2 linked regions of the Oreochromis niloticus genome follow. The protein of the gene in region 1 purifies or fractionates together with the protein of each later gene. This does not show direct contact. Links are inferred from orthologs where the notes say so. Each region holds a gene or a part of one and is shown in the gene's direction. Other genes may lie near its edges.

Region 1 (8,149 bases):
TGCCTGGTGTTTATTTAGAGTAATTCTCTTCAGATCACAGCAGAAGAAGTGTGTCATCTCCACTGTGTCGTGTGATTTCAGCAAGAGGTTAAAAATAACATAAAACACATTCCAAATCTAACTATAACTGTATATTATGTACATAAATAAATATAAAGTCTGTATGTAGTCTTACTGCATTACGGTGTCTATATTATACACTTCCCACTGAATATGCTGTGTGTTATTGTGTTTTGTTTTTTGTAACATGAATTCAGATGATGAAGCGATGTAATAAAAGCGGTCGGTGGGAAACTGCACAGCTGCTCGTCTTTTACAAAATACATTATGTATGTACAATATATGCTGCTGTAGCTATCATTGGTCTTTTATACATTAAAGTCAAGATGTGATTTACCACTTCCCGTGGCTTTTTCCCTGCTCGACAGAGGCGTTTTAACAGCAACAGCTAATCATGTTTATGCTACAGATGTTGCAGCTGGCAGTTTGCGTTTGTCACATTCACAGTAAATGCCACTGTGGTGTAAATTTGGCTCTTATCTCTAACAGCACCCCCATCGGTGCGACTCCAGCCAAGGCCCTTTGCAGTTCAAAGGTTTCTGTGCAGGTTTTTGGCTGCTGAAGTGCAATTCCGAATTTATTTTCATGTGCCTGGAGGTTAATATGGATCCTCATTAGTCTTAAGTGCAGCTCCTCAAATGTAAAAGCTAAACACCGAACCAGAGACGCCACAGCTGTTCGAGGCAGAGTGGAACAAGTGTGCCGGGAGGAGGAATGCAGGCAGTTTATAGATATTTTAGCCTCAGGACAGTGACCAGTAGCCAAGTGATTCACTCTGATATTTATTGCAGAGGAAGCTTTAAATCATAAGTGCTTCTGACAAACGACTCCCGGTGGCGTTCAGAGATGATGCTGGTGACCTTGTCTTGCCGCCTTAACCGCACCTGAGTCTATTCCCCCTGACAGCAGTAAGAGGGAGACACAAAGTGGTCTGCTTCATTCTGCATCCTACACTTGGAAATAACCTGTAAACACCTGCATCTGTCAACATCTGCATCAACGCAGCAGCAGAATAAAGCAGACATGCTGTGCAGTCAAGCACTTATGAGGCCCACAAAACTATTTTTAATTCTAGTAAAGACCCTAAAGTTTCTGGAGACTCACTGGCTTGAGTGTGTATAAAATCCTTTATGTGGCGCCCAGTAAAAACACTATACGGCTTCAATAAAGAGCTGGAACAAACAGAAGAAAATGACAGATACTGTGAATTAAGAACAAATTTTCAACCTCATTTCCTCGTCATTTTGGGGAAAACAAATGGGAAAAGGTGCGTTCATTACTGATGGTGTCATCACGGTGCTGGCACTCGTGCAATCCCTCATCCACAAACGCTGTCATCACTTTGCGGCAAACTCGACGTGTAAATTTTTACACGCGTTTGTTTTGCCTGCGTTTTAATCACAGCTTTGAGAAAGAAAGTATATGAGTGCAGTTTGTCGTGTTAACACTATCAGAATATTCATTTGCAGACTGAAAATTCATCATAGATGTTTACAAGTCAATGTCACTGTGACAGTTTTGTCACAGTTGTCGCGTTTGGAGCTTTTAAAACACCACAGGTTGAAATTTGACTGTTTTCATATCCGTGATCACTGGGGCGAGAAAAATCATCAGCTGAAGATTATGAGATGCACTAAAATGAAAAGCTCCTGAGGAGAATCTCAGTGGTTACTGACGCGGATCTGTCTACTGCCAATACTGCCTCCTAGTATCCAACACACACAGGGCGACTCCATCTTGCATGTGTTGTGTTTGGATTGCTCTGTATTCTGGTTGTGTGGTCTTGATAAGGGCTCACTGTATAGTCTAGGACTGATTCTCAGTTTCAAGATTGTGTGTAGCATGATTGGATGTAGTGCCGTAATAATGCCTTTTATCTTTTATCAGTATTAATAAATGCATATTACAGCAAACAAGAAAAGAATGTTGCTCCTTCTGCAAAATAGGATTGTCCTGCAGGGGCAGCCCGAGGTTCAGTACCAATTAACCTGCCAAAAACAGAATATTTAAGGAACTGCTCTCCTGCAAGGCTCCTGTGCTCTGCTAGACACTGAATGCCTAGAAAGTGTGGAGAAAAAAAAACCCCACAGGACTGACAAAAACCTCCAGGATCAGATTTTTTTTAAATGAGAGAAAAAAAACCCTGAAAAAGAACATAAAGATATTTCAAAGTATCTTTTCAGGACAACTTGTAACACCTACATAAAACTTGCATGATTCCTGGAGGGCAGAAACATATTCATTTGGGATTTTGTGAGAGAATAAGGAGGAAGGAGCAGAAAAAAATACTATGAGAATCTCATTTCGTCTGCAGCTGCAACGATGGAAAGCTGAAATAGTTCACATAATAAAGGAAATAAAGGAAGTCATTTTCAGTGATTATCTGTCAGCTTTCACTATGTCATATAGACCTGCTTTCTTTATATTTTGTAAAGTGCAGCAGTTCCTTTTTTCTTTCTATTAATGCACCACATCCTGCAAAAAAGCTCTGCTCGCATTGTCTCGTTGGCCAAAACGCTTTTCATTCATTTTTCATCAGTTCTTTTTTTCATCTCTCTCTGCTCTAATTTTACCATTTTGCTTGAAAATCATACAGCTGCTCCCTTCAGTGCATCTTAATGAGATCTGAGTCAGCAGGGTGTATTCTGCTTCGGCATGCCAGAGCACAGAGAGGAATATTTGTGTCACACAGCTGGCATTTCATCCCAGCTCCCTGCCTGGGTTGTACGCGGATCATCCTTCCATCAGCACATGACAACGTACAGAAGGTCATCAGCGTTTTCTCTCGGACTATGGACAAAATTAAATAACACAAGGGAGGCAGAGGTTTCTCCTAACTTATTTCGGATGGGTCATTCTGTAAAGCACTGAAATTGGTTTACTTCCTAAAAAGGACATCAGTGAACACCCAGAGGACAGCAGAAATGAAATGGGACAAAGATATGTAGATTGGCATGCCTGGAGAATAGAAAGACTAATGCTCTTTAAAGAAAAACTATGAAAAGCTGCCACCTGCTGGATCTGTGGTGAAAGCACGGTTTCAGTTAACTTCAGATGTGCTTGATACTCCTCACAATAATGCTGCTTGGAAAAGGTGAAAACTGGCCGGTGGTATTAGTTTGTGGCGGTACTGACATTTTCTTTTTAAAGCTACAAGTCTGTATTAAACAGTTATGCTGTGAATATCCTCACCTAAGACTCAGCACTGTTTACTGTTTGGTTAATCCAGCTATGAAGACGTTTTTACTCTAGAGATCCAAGTCAGTGCAGTTATGATGACTGCAGCAAGTTTGTGTTTACAAGCACAGAAGTGCAAATTTTGCTTAACCTGCTTTTTAGATCTGAGAGTTTAATTTGTATTCGATGTTTTGTGATGTTTTGAAGAAACTGTGTGTTGCATAAAGGGATGGAATGCCTTGGTGTTCCCCCATTTAAGCTGGAGGAGGTGGTTGGGGAGAGGGAGGTCTGGGTTTCTCTGCTTAGGCTGCTGCTCCTACTGATGCCCCCTACCTCCCGGATAAACAGAAGAAGATGGATGGATGAATGGATAATAACAATTTTTCATGCCATTTATTGCAGTTGATTGGAAACTCCTGTCAGAACTGAAATTAATTCTTTTCTCTCTCATGCTATATGCAATGCTCACTTTCTGGCCTGTTTTTTAAATAATTTATTAATTTCATTCCCAGAGCAAATGAAATACAGAGAGACTTTATGTTGGGTGATTTAGCTTTGTCCATTGGTTCGACAAACTTTGAAATCAATTTGAATCTGGACAATGATTCTTGATTGTGAAGGAGATCCTTCACAAGAGATAAAGTGGAACATTTAACTTCTGTAATTTTCATTGCACTTTTAACTGTAACACCCACTCACTTGTCGAGCCCGGATTAACTCACGCTGATTTTATTGTTTGGACTTCATCATTACAAGATCACATGGGCAGGTAAGAAAGCAAGAACAGTCCTCATCTTATTTTTACATGTAATATAAGCAGACAATTATATAGTGGAACATCCATGATGCATATCAATATACAATTGTCATGCCCCTAAAAGTACAGCATATTTACGCTACTTAAATATGCTACGTCCAGATGAACAGAATCAACTTTTGGAGATTTACTTACCTTGATGATTGAGCATGCATCAAGACGTACAGCGTATTTACATTGTGAACAGGAAAACCTTCACAAATAATCCTCTATTTAAAATAACTTATAGAATAATTTGTGTCTCCTTTCATGTAAAAATGCCTGAACACCTTACACACTACTTAAAATGACGTACTCACTATTATACATTTCTTAAAATATAATTATTTGTCTTTTCCTGTAAAGCCTTAAATTATTCCCTCTTATTTTAGTGCATCTACACCGTTTGTTGCATGCTATAATATAAAGGGCAACCAGTACATATCTGTTCTGAGATAATGCCCAGAGCATTATCTCACTGTTAAATATGAGACCTCCTCTTTATTTTTTACATCTTCTTGTTACAGTGTTTGTTTGAAACCTGTTGATCGCTCTAATCTGTACAGAACCTCATTGGCTGCTGACTGTTGCCATGACAGCGCCAACCCGCAGACGCTTCAGAGTGAAGGATTGTGGGTAATAGATACACATATCTGTAAGTCTGAGATCCTTTGAGAAGTGAATACCTGTCCTTTCCAATATTTAAGCGATTAAACACCATCGCGATGAAGGTTTGTACCAATAAATTAATTTTATTTTCATTCACTCATTCCATTCGTTCCACACGCATGCGCTTCAGTTAGCTGGATGCTAACTGCGTTTATTCACCTCCTAGAAACCAACCGTTAGCCAAGTGTTAGCTGAAGACAGACTGAACGTCGACCAAAGTCCGCTAAAAATGTGTGTTGCGTTGTGTATTATCCAACAATCGAAAAAACAGGCTGTTTGGCAAACATAGTCACAGTAATGATAACTAAAAGCTCTATACTCACAGCTAAAATAATACCCATAGCACCTTTCTCCTGTTTGTCACCCGTCTGTTTAAACAGCGTTTTTTGTGCGTTTTTGTTAAAATATTTTAGGTTGCTGATCTAATCTTCGTAATGATAATGCAGACATGAGTTTAGGCAAAGTTAAAATAAGTTAGTTGTCACTTTTCTGTTTTATAAGTAACTTCTGCAGGTGTATTTTGTTGCATCCAGTGCATGGGTATGTTGTACACCTGGCTATCTGACACGTTTGGATATAGTTTGATTAAGGAGCTTTCTAGATGATGCTTTAATATGTATTTAGAAGCAAATAAGATGAAACTGTACGTTGAAGTGGCACTCCATCAATTTAGTACTGTATGTCTCTAAGGTTGGGGCGCTAACATGAAAAAATAAATTAATTGAATTGCTAAAACTTATGCCAGAGAAACACTTTGAACCTCTCCAAATGTTCATCCTCCCCATACGTAAGTGTCTTTCAAGACTGTGGTGTGTGGATAAATAGGTGAGAAATGTGAAGTGATACTAATCAATAAAACAGATTTATGTAGGGAAACAATCAGTTACCCTCCTGTGAATCGTTGGTTTTTGATATGCCTACATTTCTGACAGACCATCAGAAAACAATATTTTCTTACTGTACACCTTAGACGTGCAGTAATTTATAGAAAGACCTAAACTTAAACATGGCTATATCTATTGGTGAATTTAAAAGCATCATAAGGAATTAAATGTAATAGACCTGTGTGTGTTTTTCCCGAGAGGCCACTAATGGTTGTATATTGTGTATTATGTTGCAGATTTTGTACTTATATTTGTAGAAATCTTTGAGATGTTCTGAGTTTGTGCAGTTATGGAGTTTGGTGTAATGGGATGCCCAGGTTGTAATGCAAATGCAAATTGGTAGAGTGGGAAAAAAACTAACCAATAAGGACATCTTTAAATCCACAGAGTGTTTTTGTGCTCGCTGAAAAAGCCTGGGCGGGATCTAACTTGCTGTACAAGTGGCAGAAAAGCCTTGGTAATTATATCGCTGTTGCAGGGTGAGTATGTCATTTTGGTTAACAAAATAGCTCTGAGAAGGCTGTGTAACAGTCTACTAATTGTCTGTTGACTGAGCTTTATTTTCAATCACACAGACAGGACAACACAGTCAAAATATTTGATCGACATGGACACAAGTGGACTGAAATCAACCTTCCAGGGTAATTGTGATAAAATCACTCAGATTCCAGTTTTGTGTCATCTAACAGTTTTGGCTGATTACCACTGAATGTTCAGGTTTTCTTAATAACTTCCTTTCTCCTCTTTCTCTGTAAGGCGCTGTGTGGGGATGGACTGGGATAAGGATGGGGACATTCTGGCAGTGATAGCTGCAAAATCCAGCTCCATCTTCCTCTGGGATGCCAGTGTCAGTAAAACATCCCAGATAGACAGCGGTATGAGGTACGACCATTTCAGAGGGAGAAAATTTAACCCAATCATTCTACTACAGTTAATTGTACTGGCTGAATAAGTGATGCAAGTGTTAGTCATTGAATAATTTCACTGCAAATATGTTTTTTTCCCTGTTTCAACAGAACACTAACTTTGAAATAAGTAAAGCTAAACGTTTTGTGTTCTCATTGTTGATGGTTTCAAACAGAGATCAGATGTCTTTCATCTTGTGGTCAAAGACTAGCCCGCTGTTGGCAGTCGGAACAGTCAAAGGAAACCTGTTGATCTACAATCAGCAGACCTCACGCAAGATCCCTGTGCTGGGTAACACACAACAAAACTGTATATATAATCTTGGATGGTTTAATGGTCTTTAGTCTGTTCTGTAATATTGATTCTCTGTCTCCTTCTCTCCACACTTGATAGGCAAACATAGCAAGAAGATTACCTGTGGCTGTTGGAGCTCCCAGAATCTGCTGGCCCTGGGGAGTGACGACAACACGCTGAGTATCAGCAATCATGAGGGAGACACCATCAGACAGGTAGTCAAATACAGTAGTGTGCAAAAATCTTGAACCAGCCCTCATGTCTTATAATTTTTTTTAAAGTTCTTTAACAATAGTTTTCCAGTTTTTCTGAAGGTCTTTCAGAGTTTTTCTTTAGACATTTGCTGCTTTTTCACTCATTTTCACTTCAGTCTGTGCTTTGTTTGTTAAGCCATGTTATCAAGGGATCATTTAAGCATAAAGAAGGCTAACTCAAAGTGTGAACCAGTGTTGATTCTTTACATAACAGACAGCTTAGCAAGCAGGCAATTTTAAGTTGTATCTTTAGGCATTTTGTTACTATAACCCTGTCACAAAAACACATAATTTCTTTGGTTGAATCTGTGAAAAATGCCAAACATAACACAGTGTGACAGGCGTAATGTAATAGTACATAATGCACAATAATACATAATAGTATTTTTGCACCAACAAGGTGATTCCCAAAGAACTATTAGCAGACCTGTTTGTTAAAGCCATATCAGAAATGGATTCAGTGGAAGGGTGGATGTTAAGTAGCTATTCAGGAAACGCCAAATTAAATCTGAACTGGACTAAAAATCTGTCACAGCATTCCTTATGGACCGAGTGTACTTTCTGATCTTTCGCCAGACGACGGTTCGCGGTGAGCCTGCTGAAATTTACTTCTCGGTGATGAAGACGGATGAAAGGTCAGCTCAAGGAGAGAGCACAGTGAGTCTGTTTTCTGCTAGTTTCAAATTGAACCTGTGCTGGAGATGAATTTTAAGGTCTGTTTGAACATGACTGATCTGGGATTTGCAGAAAATTTCAAATAAATTGTTCGTATGAAGGTGATCAAAGGTTTAGGATGTCTGAAATGTGTCATGGAAAAAGTGCACATTATTCTACCCTTCAGGTGAGTGTTTCTGTGGACAAGAAGATACTGATGCTTTTCAACATCAACGACCCTGGAAACCCAATAGAGCTAGCCTTCGAGCGCCGCTATGGAAACATTGTGTCCTACCGCTGGTATTGCATCTGTTCACACACACAACAAGCTTTGGTACTGAATCACACTTGAGTTATTTGCAGTAAAACATGTTCTCTCACCATCTTTGTTGGACTGTGTAGGTATGGTGATGGGTATATACTCATTGGTTTCTCCCATGGATACTTTGTGGTCA
Region 2 (7,872 bases), on another chromosome or scaffold:
GATATATAATGTATGTGAGGGGCTGTACCCTCTTGTTCTCATCTCTGTACACCGCCATTGCTTTGCTGTGCTGGATCCTTTGCTCTCGTTCACTGGCCAGATCGAGACGGTCTGCTTCTCGGAGAGTCTCTGCTTCCTTTATTTTATTGGCCAGCTGCAGCTTTATTGCTGCACATTTCTCCTCTATTTGTCTCTTCAGCTGCTCTCGCAACTCCTTCCTATGGAGATAAAAAGAGCAGCTTTTCTTTGCCAGAAACAACTCTTGCTGTTGTTTTTCAATATAAAAAGGTCAATGCTATCCTCCACTATTTTACCTGTACTCTTCTCTCTCATTGCTGGTTCCATAGAAGGGTTTTCGCCATACCTGATGATATCTGACACAGCAGCTTTCAGTCATTGTCTTTGAAGTCAGCTCTTCAAAGAAAAGATGGAAATGGAACAAGTGATTCAGTGATAGTGAAATTATTTAGTGCACCTACCTGTAATGCTCTCTTCTCTGCATGATCAGTGTCCTCTGGTGGTTGTGTTGGTGAACATCTGGTGTCTCCAGACTGACGGTGCGTTTATGGACAAATGGTGGGTGTAAAGGGTTCAATCTGGGAATACTCTAAGGAGGATATTTATGGATCAGTTTGTTTTTTTCTTGTTGTTTTTTTTAAAACAATATATTTCTATGATAAACCACACAATTAAGAAATCTCTGCATACCTGATTGCTTTTCCAAAACTGTGCGGAGTCTGAAATTACGGGAAATTTCACGGTTGTATCCAACAGGCAGCGACCTTGCCGGACAGGAGGTGCGCGAGGAATACAGACTGGTGTGGAAGCTATGGAGATGGCTGCTGTGAGGATAAAGAAGTGAACAGAATTAAAGGAGAAACTTTTAAATAAAACCAGTAATGCTTAAAAAAAAGGACAACAAATGGAAAACAAAATCTCTCCTTACGTAGTTTCATCTTATACTTCACACTTCTATTCGCACACCAGAGGAGTCCAATGAAACTTTCAAAGCTTCCAGAGCTCTACTTTTCCTCTTAAAGGTGTAGTTGCCTTAGCATTAAATCAACATGCAACAACACATAAAAAAAAATAAATCCAAATTTAAATATACCGGATTGCTATGTGGTGCTGCCTAGAGATTATACTGACGTACCGATGTATGTGTTGAGTATCTTGCGGTGGCAACAGTTGCCTTGGGAATCAAGTTACACCCTGTCAAAAGAAAGCTACTGAATGGAGTGGTACGCATCAATGCACTCATAAAGAAAGATTAGATTGTGCCAATAGCTATATTTAGGGGGTGTCCCTGGATCTCATCTATGTAGAAAGCCTGAGGCAAGAAGGCTGAATAAACCACTCGTGGATCATTTCAACTTTTAACCAGCTTAAAACATTTTATTCAACACATAATAAAAGTTCTTAAAGGTTAGCCAGCGTAATACTGCATAATATTGAAGAAATTCAGGATTAAAATTTCAAGTCCTCCATAATGCTAATATTGTTATATTGTTGGGTAACTGCAGTTTGTGTGATAGAAGTGATTTTCTTGTTTCTGGTCCTTCAGATTCCCAGTTTCTCATGGTTCTCCCACAGCCAAGCATGGTACTTGTTTAGCTTATGATCATCAGGTTTTACCTTTGACACAAGAATCGAAAAAAGAAAAAATTAAACTTGAATTTAGAGCAAACAAATGAGGAAGCAATGGAAGCAACTGAAGTAAAATAGTTGGGATTATACCCACCTGTCTCCACTCATTGATACAGAAGATCCTGTACGAGTCGTTGCCGTACTTTCCAATACCGTGCAACTCAATAGGGTAACGCCACTGTTTAGTTAGATACTCATCTACACCAGAGAAAAGGGATTGTGAGGATTTTTTTTCTGTTTCATATATTGTTACTAAAACCATGCAAAGACTACCAAAAATGAACAATAAAATTACAATAATATATATAAATAAATGGACATTGCATGTGCACAAAGGTAGTTGCTGCTGTAATCCACTAACAGGCAAGAATATCCACCTGAGAAGCGGATGAGTGTTTTGGCTCTAAGCTCATACAGGCCAAGTGGCTTCATAAGTTCAGACATGGGCTTCCAGTCGGCCTGTCGGGTCACCTCTGCAGATGGATAACGCTCAAAGAACTGCCACAGGACTGGAATGGCCATTTTACCTGTATTAAAGAAATGCCAGGGTTCAGCAAAGCTTAATGCAACATCCTGAATAATTAAATGTGTGTGTTGAATCCTACCACTGGTTTTGTTCAGAAAAACTGTGGCTACCAGCAGCTTCCAGGGATCATGGAAAAGAGTTTCCTGTACGAGGTTGAAGGGAGACCGGGGAGGTGTCCACTTCTTGAAGGCCTTCCTCCTCGGTGGGCTAAGTCCTGAGTGTGGACAGTGCACATTTCTTTAAATTACACACTTTATTTATTTCATGAATGTTGATATACATGTCCGACGTAAAAGCATCCAGTTTCCTGCATTAAACATTACCATCTCTGCTGGATTTCCCACTGAAATAAGGACTTGTTTTCCGCTTGCCTTCCAAGCTTTTGGACTCTAAGCAGACAGGAAACATTTATGGATATTAGAAGAGTGAAGCTGCTTTACATCTTTTGGTTGGGTTCAAAGTTAAGTACCTCATAAAATGACACAACAGAGAAAATCATATATTCGCTGAGCACAAAGTGGTGGAGTCCTATGATGGCTTCATTAATGCAGTAAGATTACTCAATCAATTCTGTCCTCCCTTAGACTAATGATGTGATGCACTCTCTAACAATGGACTATTATTCTTCGCCCCCTCTTTATCAGATCTAAATGTATGCATTTTTTTTTCTATTTGGAACATTTTGTGTCAATTAAGGCATTTGGTTTCTTTGATTTTTATGTATTTCTAGCTGCAAATATAGAGGATAATGGAAGACATAAATAACCACTAATGCACTGGATAAGCTCAAATTAAACAGCTAAAAAAACATGAAAAACTTTTACAAATTGTCAGTCAGTGTGGCTCATTCTTACTATTCTGGGATTCTCGAACTGGTGTACAGCTCCCATCAGTGGTATCAGGTAACAACGCATGTTCTTCAGCATCTTGACGACTGTCATCGCCAGTCTCCAGGTCAGAATTAGGAGTGTTGTCACCTTTGCTTTCATCACCTTTTTTCTCGCTCTCAGCGGCAGGTTCAACATTCAAAATCGGGGCCGAAGGCTTCAAATCTGCTTTCTTGTCCTCTTGAAGAATAGACGTGTTTGGTTGATTACTTAAAGGAGCCAGTCTGAGTAACTTCTCTCTCAGTTGGCCTCCTCTTTGGGGGCTCTTTTGCAGTTGTACATTGTCCACTTTTTCTGCGGTCAAAGCTTGTAAACAACCATTTAAAGTTTCAGTAGTTTTGTCTCCATTCACATTCACTTCTAATACACATGCAGTCTTCTGTAGTTTAGTGTCAGCATCAATATGATTTGTGTCGTCTGCCGTCCTCACTTTTCCGCTTTTAGTATCACTTCTGAGGGAGGAAGAGGCTTGTTTGGATTTATTTGGAGGTGCCTCTAGAATTGCTGTTTCATTTTCTGTTTCCTCCTGCTGTCCCTCTAAAGGCTTTTTCTTTCCTCTCCTCTGCTTTACTTTGGGAGGGGGTGCTTGTGAAGGGGTGACAACATCATCTTTGGATGTGGTGAAATCAAAGAGGCTTATGTCTAAGTTACCACTTCCACTTTCCAGGAGGAAAGTGCGTAGGGATGCTCTGGACCGGAACCTTTGCCCTTCGGGACTTAAACAACAGGAAAATCAATTAGATGCTGATCTAAGGGCTTCTGTGGTGCACTTACAGGTAACATCTTACAGAGACAAGATTGTAAAAAAGACCAAAACTGAGTCACCTTGTAAAGTAGACATCTAGTTTGCCTGCTGTCTTGCCTGCTTTCCGCTGCCTCACTTCTCTGATCCAGCCAGGGGGCAATGCGGAAGAAGGGCACAAAATCTCCCCTTCTTTGAGACTTTGATGATTCATGTCCACACTGCTCTCCAGTTCAGTATCTTATCTAGTAGGATGCATTTTTAGTTTCTTTGGAGTCCTGTTGAAGTGAAGACAACGAATAAAAAAACCTTGGCTTTATTGTTAAACTATGAACCTGTAGTTCTTGTTTTGTTCCTGCGAGTTTACTTGGACATTTACAAAAACAACACATACAAGGCGTTTGCTCATTCTACAGTTTGCTCACATAAAGCCACATTAAAAAAAAGGATTGCTGGATATTACTGGGCAGCAGATCAAAAGCAAAGAGCTAAAACGTTAACAAAGGCGTGTGCAGCATACATGAATACTGATCAGGCTTTAGATGTGCATCTTCTTGTCTCGACGTGGCTTTACCGAGTTCTTTCTGATGTCAACACAGAAGCAGGAAGTAGCGAGCAAGTGCGAGTCTGCGCAGTGCGAGCTACTCGCTACAAGAAACGGTACAGGGTGAAAAAACAGAACCAAGCGAACTGCAGCAACCTGTTGACAAAAGAACCTTTGGTGCTTTTTTTCTGTTAAAGAGCGGAAATGAGAGCTGTCCTAGCATGGAAGGAAACGATCCGTGAGCAATGGTAGGAATCTGAGTGATTAGGTTTGCGCTGTCAGCCTCGTCCCGATGCTCAGATGTAACGCTAGGTGGTTAGCAACGGTGGTTGCTATGTAAACTAGTGTTAGCCCGCTAACTAGCTTTAGCATCGCAGCGATTCCATTATCATCAATGTGTGATCTTTTATATCGCTCTCATATTAGATGTCGTGCATTATGTATTTTCCATAAGTACAGTAGCTTATGATGGTTCTTTGGTAACCGATATAATCATAGACGTAGGATCTCTAGTTCTCATTACGGTTTATTTTGTTTGTTGTGCAGAATTGCGTGCTCCTAATAACATCTTTTTATTGAAGAGGCTTTTTAAATAAGGTATTAACTTGTTTGCCATTATTTCCCATTACATTCTTGTCAGGAATTAAGGTAGTCCTGTTTAGTCTAGCATTTAAATGATCAGACTTCCCGAAAAAACAAAAACCGAGTAGGTGTTTGGAGAGATGTTTTTGTGCTGTTTCAGAGGGAGAATGGAAGTCACAGAGTAACTCATAATACTCTAATGATACAATGCCCACTAAAATGTTTATATTGTGATCAGATCAAATCACAATACTTGATATGTTGCAGGAGTCATCTTGGATAGATGGTTGTATCTGAATAGGAAAAATATGACTCCCCAAAAAGGCAAAAGCAGGACTTGTATACTTAGCATGATAACTGCAGTTATCATACTAAGTATACAAGTCCTGCTTTGTTTGAGTGAGACAATGTGGGATACGTTAATAATGCTGAGAAGTCACTTGTAACATTTTAACAACTTTATTTGTTTTCTAATAAAAACATGCTGTAGTTTTTAATTAGATATTTCCAACTTCTTATATGCATAAATGGAAGTTAACTTTTTTGGTGGTGTGATTCAATTAATTTTGAGCCACAGATCACTCACATTTTTTACTCTGACATTAGACAAAGACGTAGTCCAGTCCATCTAAAGTTTGTGACATCTGCTGGTGTCCCTACCCCCAGTGGACCCACTAGGGATTTTTATTCATTTTATCTATAGAGGTTTTAATTTCCTGGCTCAAAACTCCATGCACGTAAGCACAATTGATCCGGATATAGTCAAGTAAAAGAGTGAACGTTTTTACCAGATGGTTTAACACAGTCTTTGAGAGTGAGAGGATGCCTGAAGAATGGAGAGGTGGTACTGATTTTTAAGAACAAGTGTACAGTAACTACAGAGGGATAAAACTCATAAGCCATACCATAGCTATGGGAAAAAGTGTTGTTGAAGGTAGCTTAAAGAGTGAGGTAATGATCAGTGAGCAGCAGTATGGCTTCATGCCACGAAAGAGCACTACAGATGGGATTTTTACTTTGAAAGTGTTGATTGGAGACGTATAGGGAATGTCAGAAAGACGTGAGCTGTGTCTTTGTGGATCTGAAGAAAGCATATGATAGGCTGCCAGGAGGGGAACTGTGGTACTGCATGAGGAAGCCAGGAGTTGCAGAGAAGTATGTGAAGGTGGTGCAATGCAGGACATGTATGAGGACAGTGTGACAGTGGCGAGTTGTGTGGTACAGATTGGTTCGAGGTGAGGGTGGGATTACATCAGGGATTGTCTTTGAGCCCCTTGTTGACAAGACAACATTGTGATAAATAGTGAGAGTGGGGAGCAGTTGGAAGAGAGCTTTGAAAGGTGGAGGCACGGACTGGAAAGAAGTATAAGAAAGACAGAACACATGTGTGTGAATGAGAGGGAGACAGGTGTAACAAGTTTTCAAGAAGCAGAAGTAGTTAAGGTGGACCAATTTAAATATCTGGGGTGAACCATCCAAAACAACAGACAGTGCACAAAAGAGGTGTAGGAGAGAGCACATGCAGGGTGGAGTGGATGGAGACGCGTGATTTTCCTTGTTGTTAGGTGTAAACATTTTTTGGATGTTTTGTGTGTGCGTGTGTGATTTTGAGCAGCTCCCACTTACTGTTTTTAAGTTTTGTTACTTACTGTTGTTAACCCATTTTCACACATAAAAGCCTAAAATTTGATTAAAAAAGGTGTTTTCAGGGGATAATTATCCACAAAGCACAACTGAGTAATATATAGTTAATGCAAAGTGTCTGAGCTACCTTATGTAACAGAATCAACAGAAATGTAAGTATTTTCCTGTTTCTGCCTAAGTTGCATAAATTAGAAAAATGTAACTTATGCTCAGCTAATGTTTCCCCACTTAAAGAAATAGTTGGAGGAATGCCAAATCTCATTTAGGGGAAAAGCCCTGAATTTGTTAATTTCAGAACATTTGGTTTGATTTGTTTGCACTTGTTTGTCCTTGCTAAAGATGTCCTCTGTTTCTTCAAACTCTGAATTTTATGGGTTGTTTTTTTTTTTGGTTTATTCGGTGTATGCAAAAGAAAAAAAAGAAAAAGTCAGTGTGCTATATTAAAGAAATTCCCTAGTTCAATACTGAGAGAAGACACTGGAGCTCCCAAGCTAGTTCACTCCTAATTCCAGTCGCAAACCCCAGATCAGGGAGGGAAGGTTGCATCAGGAAGGGCATCCAGCATAAAATCTGTGCCAAATCAAATATGCAGATCCATCCGCTGTGGTGACCACTTGGGAAATAAGGTTGCAGCTGAAAGAAAGTATTAAAGAAACATTGGACACTTGCAAATTCTCACACTTATGAAACTGGAAGCCATTATTCTCCATGCTTCACAGTGAGTGTTTTCACACCGAAACAGATTGTGTGCATCCTTGCAACCTAGCAGAACTGTTGAATGTTTTCCCTCTTCATAGGAACCTGATTTTTTTAGTGTTTTTATTTATTCTTGGTTTTTTTTCACCAGGATTCTTAACGTCTATATTTCTAATATTTCTTTCATATTTCCTAACAACATATTTACTAATTCACAGTGTTGCAGTGACATGTTTTGGCTTTATCTTCACTCATAAGTTTGTGAATTCCTCCAAAACCTTCAACAGAGTTGCAGGGTTGCAAAACCTTCCCTGTGTGCATTTTGGCACACAGCAATAACGTACTTGTAAAATCCACCTCCATGGCACTGCTAGAGGTCAAAAACTCCACAGGGAACCTCCATTATATGATTTCAGTGATGAATGGATCCTCATAGCTGTTGCTCGTGAACTAATCAATTTATTGAAAAACCATTTGAACACGGATCTGTTCTTTTGGGTTTTTTTCTGCAGCGTTTATGACCTCGCCTTCAAACCAGATGGTAGCCAACTCATAATTGCTGCAGGGCTTCGTGTCCTGGTGAGGCTTTTCTCTTTTCTTTAGC

What was found. Proteins that work in one complex are often made in the same cells at the same time.
Region 2: the proteins of wdr19 (region 1) and ift122 purify together in Homo sapiens (affinity purification with mass spectrometry; 4 studies listed by BioGRID and IntAct, counting the BioPlex papers as one, with this or other methods). This does not show direct contact. The link is inferred for Oreochromis niloticus from reciprocal best matches to the Homo sapiens genes WDR19 and IFT122.

Annotation. Positions count from the first base shown.
Region 1 is NC_031971.2:22,157,477-22,165,625, reverse strand, and holds the start of wdr19 (WD repeat-containing protein 19), read left to right. Parts: upstream 1-4,612; 5' UTR 4,613-4,758; coding exon 4,759-4,764; intron 4,765-4,861; exon of another isoform or gene 4,862-4,933; intron 4,934-5,416; exon of another isoform or gene 5,417-5,527; intron 5,528-5,973; coding exon 5,974-6,065; intron 6,066-6,161; coding exon 6,162-6,227; intron 6,228-6,342; coding exon 6,343-6,468; intron 6,469-6,667; coding exon 6,668-6,783; intron 6,784-6,885; coding exon 6,886-7,001; intron 7,002-7,616; coding exon 7,617-7,697; intron 7,698-7,881; coding exon 7,882-7,994; intron 7,995-8,096; coding exon 8,097-8,149. UniProt on the Homo sapiens protein: As component of the IFT complex A (IFT-A), a complex required for retrograde ciliary transport and entry into cilia of G protein-coupled receptors (GPCRs), it is involved in cilia function and/or assembly.
Region 2 is NC_031984.2:14,357,334-14,365,205, forward strand, and holds the start of ift122 (intraflagellar transport protein 122 homolog), read left to right. Parts: upstream 1-4,438; 5' UTR 4,439-4,550; coding exon 4,551-4,594; intron 4,595-7,780; coding exon 7,781-7,847; intron 7,848-7,872. Other genes in the region: uncharacterized protein LOC102076950, read right to left, coding at 1-218, 315-374, 480-607, 709-842, 947-956; mbd4 (methyl-CpG-binding domain protein 4), read right to left, coding at 1,561-1,635, 1,742-1,845, 2,025-2,174, 2,253-2,387, 2,497-2,562, 3,028-3,776, 3,886-4,016. UniProt on the Homo sapiens protein: As a component of the IFT complex A (IFT-A), a complex required for retrograde ciliary transport and entry into cilia of G protein-coupled receptors (GPCRs), it is required in ciliogenesis and ciliary protein trafficking.